Linked DNA regions of Saccharomyces cerevisiae S288C. The gene in region 1 interacts genetically with each later gene. Each region holds a gene or a part of one and is shown in the gene's direction. Other genes may lie near its edges.

Region 1 (3,250 bases):
CGTAGAGGTCTGCTAGTTCCAACCCAAACTACTGATCAAGAATTACAACATTTAAGAAATAGTTTGCCGGATTCCGTTAAGATTCAAAGGGTAGAGGAAAGACTATCTGCCTTGGGTAACGTCATCTGTTGTAATGATTACGTTGCTTTAGTGCATCCAGATATCGACAGAGAAACTGAAGAATTGATAAGTGATGTACTAGGCGTTGAGGTCTTCCGTCAAACCATATCAGGTAATATCTTAGTTGGGTCATATTGTTCTTTAAGTAATCAAGGTGGGTTAGTGCATCCACAAACAAGTGTCCAAGATCAAGAAGAATTGTCCTCCTTATTACAAGTTCCTTTGGTGGCTGGTACCGTTAACCGTGGTAGTTCAGTTGTCGGTGCCGGTATGGTTGTGAACGATTACTTGGCAGTTACAGGTCTGGATACTACAGCCCCAGAATTGAGTGTTATTGAAAGTATTTTCCGCTTGCAAGATGCCCAACCAGAATCCATTTCAGGTAACCTACGTGATACTTTGATTGAAACCTACTCATAGATGTCAGGTACTCCTGAGGGGATTCCCCTCCTTCCTCAAGTCTGTTTACAGTTGTATGCGAAAGAGTCCCCATGTTGCAATAATCTTCTTACGTATCATTTGTGGTATTTTTTTTGGTATAACAAATATTTTTTCTTAGGTTTCTATGCATTTTAATTTTAGTTGTATGTATATTATGTACTCTTTTATTTTTTTTTTTTTTCTTATACCTATGGGTGACTATTCATTGCAGTTTAAGTAGGCGTCTTAATTGTAACATGTAGTCACTTTGTTCGAAGCATATGTAACGGGTTTCTAAGCAAATTCTTTGCATAATATGGATTTTCCGTCCGCTTCTCCGACTATTCTGACAACTTGCTCAGTTCCAAGTATCTGTTAGACAATATAGAACTTCTCCAAGAAAAATTGCACCGCACGTAGACCATTTGAAGGCTTTTTTGTCTAGCTGCTAGGACATACTATTGTCTCCACCAGAACCCGGAGAGTAGTATCTCTTGGCAAAGATTAATAAAATCGAACAAAGCTAATAGAACACCGGGGGTTGTGCGGTAAGATTTTCACAAGCGGTACAGAAGTGAGCCGTAAAATTATATATATATATATATATATATGGTGTACAACAAGTCAGCCGTCCATTTATGTGCTATCAAGCGAACTACGTTTCATCTCTTCAACTTGGTAGTTCTTGAGATATAAACACCCTGATCCATCGTACTCACTGAAATAGCAACAACTCCCTGAGTTCCATTGCCACGCATACCCACTCTCATATCCAGAAACAGCTAGTATTTCGATGTTTTTCCGCTCGAAGAAACTTCCGTAGTATTGTTGAGGTGTTGGGGGCATCGTTCCTTTTCGTACGCCAAAAATTCTTCCTCTATTGTTTCCAGAAAATCGTTGCAAAAAAATAAGTCCGCCACGCTGTTTTCTGTGACAACTCTATCTGGAGCCTTCACTAATGGTTTAAAAGGCACGATTTCCACAGAAAGTTTCGCAGCACTTGTTTGTACAAGGAGCGTAAAGCACCGGAAATCTTTTCCCACTGAAACCCTAAATATGAACGGCATTTGGTTGCCATGAGATACAGTCCCAAGAATTCTTTATATTATATAAGCGCTAGTTGTTGTCGCTCTTTTGACCTCATTGGTAGATATTTCAAATTACAAAATTATAATTGTTTTCTTGGTCCAACTTTTTTCTTCTTTTTGGAGGGCATTGCAAGGATCCAATACGATAAGCAAACGTCTTCATTGACCCGTTTCTAACTTTTAATATACATAAATTTTCATCTTCAACACTAATTAAATGTGGAGAACAAAAACGCTAGAATCTATGCTTTGTAGCCCAATGAAATGTTCATCGTCTAACATAGGGGGATCCTATGCGCAATCTTCAAAGGAAGTCTCGAACACGACCAAAAGGGAAGTGCATCTTCCACCTTGTTCGTCGATTATGCACGCTCCACTTACTCCTGAAATAAACCAGGCCGCACTACCACCTCCCGCTTACCATTACGCACCTTCTTCTCTGCATCAGACAGAGGATCCCGTATGGAGATCAAGTCCCAACTCTATTATCTTTTCGCCGGTTATAGCAACACCGCAACCTTTCCCTTTAACGTTCGTTGAACGTCAATCTTGTTGCCCTATTTATTCAACGGCAGCTTCCTCTTATACTGCCCAATCTGTACCTCCATCAATGCAGCATTTTCAGGAGGAAAACCACAGAGCGGTGAGCAACGAGCAGTACTCCCTCCCGAATGTGCATATAGGGCAAAATCCTGGGACGCTATTATCCCAAACACAAACCGACTTAGATCTTATACAAAAGCAACTGCGCGCTGTGGTAAAGCTACGGAAACAATGTCCTATCTGTGGGAAGGTTTGTTCGAGACCTTCAACACTGAGGACTCATTACTTAATACATACGGGAGACACACCTTTCAAATGTACTTGGGAGCATTGCAACAAATCTTTCAATGTCAAGAGTAACATGTTAAGGCATTTAAGAACCCATCAAAAGAAAATAGCAAAGAAAAAACATCAGTGAAAGCATTGTTTAGAATATTTTGTTTTCAGTGTGATTTTGATGTAGGTGTGACACTTTTTACCAAGTAAAATGAGTATAGATATGTATTAGTTCCATATAATATATTACATGTAGCCAACAATCAATTTTTACTGACTTCCGATTTTTGAATAGTGAGAGGATTTTTGTTCGAATTATAATTTCTACAAGAAATTTGTTTGCGAATGCATCAGCATTTGTAATACGGTTCTATACTGCCGCACGATACATTTTATTCTGTCTAGTTCGTAAGACAAAGGACCTTTTCATTTAGTACAACGTTGCCGACACGGATGTCTTGATGAATCTCTGTACCAGGAATTCAATTACCTGACTAGTATGCAGTTCACTATCAAAAAAAAAAAAAAGGTTAAATTGGTATAATCATGGTTAAAGAACAAACAGCCTCTTTCCTCTACAAAAGTATGTTAAATGTAGGTAGTTCAAATTGCGGTCACGTATATGCCAACGTTGTTAATATATAATGATCCATTGGAACAATGAAGTTTACAGAAGCTCAAAATTAATGCAAGAATAATTACGTCAAGGGAGTCATAACAAACTAAGAAAACAAAGGAATTTGACTAAGTTTGAGCGCAATGATATATCCATGCTTGATATTCTGATTCATACATATCGTTTC
Region 2 (3,761 bases), on another chromosome or scaffold:
AACAAATCAATGTACGAGTCAACAAAAAAAGAAAAATTCATAATCAGCAGCTTAAGTTTGGCAACTTCAGATGTATTGATCAAAAATAAGGGGAAAGTTGACGAAATGACCTTGTTAAATATCTCGACATTCCCACTACCTATAGCGGACAAAATCTGGCAGGTTTGCTTCAAATCCTTTTCATATTTAAAATTTGGTTTCAACTCATCTAATACATGAGTGAAGAACTTTTCAAATGATACTTTGTCAAAATTGTATAGTTGCAATGCCATTAGATTAATAATTTTCAAGCAAGCATCGTAGTTAGTATATTGGCCCACATCATCACTCTGTTGGTCTTTATTGTACGGATTTAGTAGAGTGTTTTCATTTCCTTCGCTGTTTTGCATAATTTCAAATTTCAAAGCGTTCCAAAGTAACGTCCAATTTTCCAATATAGAAGAGCCGCCGAATTTTCTAACGCATTCTAATAGCGTCAGAAGTGTATCATTTTTCACTACCGGTGAAGAAGCAGTGAGTTTGTCCAGCAAATTGCTATAAGCATCTTCGGCAAATAATGGCGTCGCAGTAATTGCTGATCGCAAAGCTGTTTTTAAATCTTGGTTGGAGATCTTGTAAGGATCATGCTTTGGTGGCTTGAAAGTGATTGGGAAATAGCAAAATAAGACATCAAATAAGTCTTCTTTAAAATTCTCCACGTTTTGCAAGGACGATGTGATAGATTTATTAAGTGCAAATGACAAGAGTAAATTTCTAGGGTCTTTTTCACCATTGGCAACATGAAGAAATGTTTCAATAAACAAATCGTTGATTCGTTTGACTTGTTCGGTCGAGGATCCATTGACGAAAAATCTATCAAATATTTTTCTCAAAATTTTAAATGGCCACAGTCTAGTTGATGCCAAATGCTGGCCTTGTTGATAGTTGTCCAATAATAATCTCAAAAGTTGGGCTATCTCGTTAATGGAGACATATTTCATTGGAGCTAATGCGGCGAAGCCCTCCAAGACTTCTTTTGCAAGCGCTTGATCATCAAGCTTAGACTGGTAAAACTGAAATATTACTGAGCATTCGTTTTTGGAGAGGTGGTCCTTGGGAGTTTTTGCTAAGATAGTGGTTAAACATGTCAACGCTTTCTTCCTTTCTACCTCATTTTCTGAAAGAAAATAATCTTTCAACGCAACGACAACTTCCAGCAATTTTATTGATCGGTGTACAATAGAATCCGTTACTGTGGAAGCGGTTTCGTTGGCCTTCGAATCATCAATATTCAGATTGGCCATAAAGGTGACGACTGCTGAATTTAGTTCGTCTGGTGTCATTGTAAGGCCCAATTGTTCCGCTTTTTCCCAGTTAAAACAAGTTCAATGAAAACTAACAGCTAATAACTAGATGATCATAGAGGTGACTCCTTCATTGCACGTAAAATGTACATAATCTACAATTCACTTAAATAACTAAACCAAATTTCAGTATTTGAAAAATTCATACCTATTACCCGCTTTTAACTTTTTCTTGGCTACTCACTCATGAAGGCCTAAAAAGAAGCTGCAAAGTGGTATTACCTATCTCGAAGTATGTCCTAGCTCTCTTTGACTCATTGAGGTCACCTAGAGTATACCATCCCTTCCAAATTAGCGGTATCAACATCACATACATTGGGAGTTGGTTGAATCGTTATGGTTGTATCACTAACCACGAAACGACAGCCACACAGGAAAATACATATAGAACTGTAGAAATTGGGATAAAGGATTAGGCAAATGAAGAGAGAAAGCAAATGTGGATTTAGGTCTTCATAATAGGACGTGACTGGTTAAAGTGTGAAAATTCTGGTTGTTTGTTGTGTTCCCATTTTAATAACCCTTTTTAGTTTTGTTATACATCAAAATGGCCTCGAGATTTACTTTCCCGCCCCAGAGGGATCAAGGCATTGGTTTCACCTTCCCACCGACAAATAAAGCAGAAGGTTCTAGCAACAATAACCAGATATCAATAGATATTGATCCTTCAGGCCAGGATGTCTTGGAGGAAATAAACGAAGCGCCACTTAACACATTTCCTCTTCACCAATCCGTTACGGATGCACCTATTATTGATATTCCATCTCCTACTGATATGTCTGAAGGCACCTCTCTAAATAATCAATTACTTTTACGGCAACAACAGCAACAAGGAACGGGGGAAGGTCAAGCTCTTCCGCCTACCTTTGTTGAGGAGCAAAGTGATCAAAACAAGATTTCAATGCTACTACCTGAACAAAAGCAGCAAAGAATGCAAGAATCAGCACCGCCGGACATTACAGCAAAATCAGTAGCAGAGGACTACGTGACTACTTTGAGACAGCAAATGGCTACAGATTGGAAAAGTCCCTCTGAATATGCTCTTCATATACTTTTTACAAAGTTTATTCGTTACGCGGAGAACAAACTAAATATGTGTCTACAGCAGTTGGACATGGCGGAACCCCCAATTGTAGAAATTCTTGGTGAAGGCGTTGATCCCAGCTTTGATGAAATTATTAAATCTCTAGGTCACATTGCAAAGAAAAAACCGAAACCTGTGATTGATGCAATGATGTTTTGGAGGAAGACTAAATCTGAAGCGGCCAACTCTGCTTCAGAAGAAATGGAAAAACTATTAAAAGAGTATGAGTTTGAAAAGGCACATCCCTCGCAGGCTCATTTTTTAATGAATAGGCGGCTATCAAGATCTTCCAGTAATACAACCTCAAAGTACAAACATAATAACAATACCAATAATCTTCCTGGCATGAAAAGGCACGTTTCCTCATCTTTCAACAACAAAGTTCCGTTAATCAAAGCTAGTAGCAGTAACAATAGCGCTACTTCAAGTCCATCCATAGCGAACTCACAATTGAAAAGTTTAGAGAACACAATTGAAGTAGCAAAAGAAGAAGCATTCCTTGCAGATAGGAAATCTCTGATTAGTATATACATCCTATGCAGGGTGCTAAATGAAATTGTTAAGCAGGCTTCCAGCAATGAAGAAGAAGATTTATCTGATAAGCTAGAAGAGATTGTTTTTACTCAGTTAAAAACTACTGATCCACTTTCTATATCAACTAGTTTAATTAAGTCTTCGAATTGGAATTCTTTTGCCGAACTACTGGGCTCTATGTCTGAAAAGAAATTTTTGTCAGTTAGTGATCGATTTATAGCTGATCTAGAAAAAATCCCGGCGTATATACCTCCCGAGTTAGAGCCAAGTACTCATTTGTTGATTCTTGGTATGAGATATTTGAAGTTAAGAAATTATCCGTTGGAGAAATTTGAAGAAAGTGCAGATTTCATGAAAAGTTTATCAAAGTTCTTCGCAAAGACTGAAAATTTTCCGGTTTGTTTGGCGTATGCTGAAGTCACTAACCAGCTATTGTTGCCTTTGGCTGGCTCGTTGACGGCAGAAGTTAATCATCCAACGTGGGTAGAGGCAATGTCTACTTTACTGAACACTGCCAAGAGGCTACAAGCTGATAGTAAGTATTGGGTAAGTGGTTTCAAATTAACAGTTTCTATTTTGTGTGCATCACCACCAGACCTATTTTCTAAACAATGGCTATCGTTGTTGGAGGCAAATGCCTCAAAAGTTAAGTCCAAAAGTCTGAATGAAAGGATTATCTTTGCAGTTGGTTTATCCAGATTAGTTTGGGTCTATTTATATAGATGCCCAGAAACTTTAAATAATACTACAAGGACGCTTACCAAGCTTTTACAACTATATCTAAACACAAGGAAAAAAGA

Evidence for each region. A genetic interaction does not mean that the proteins touch.
Region 2: mutations in YPR015C (region 1) and TAO3 together harm fitness more than expected from each alone (negative genetic interaction), as found in Saccharomyces cerevisiae (one large-scale study listed by BioGRID).

Annotation. Positions count from the first base shown.
Region 1 is NC_001148.4:589,622-592,871, reverse strand, and holds YPR015C (uncharacterized protein), read left to right. Parts: upstream 1-1,845; coding exon 1,846-2,589; downstream 2,590-3,250. Other genes in the region: TIF6 (translation initiation factor 6), read left to right, coding at 1-540.
Region 2 is NC_001141.2:111,367-115,127, reverse strand, and holds the start of TAO3 (Tao3p), read left to right. Parts: upstream 1-1,890; coding exon 1,891-3,761. Other genes in the region: MET18 (Met18p), read right to left, coding at 1-1,322. UniProt on the Saccharomyces cerevisiae protein: Seems to play a role in cell morphogenesis.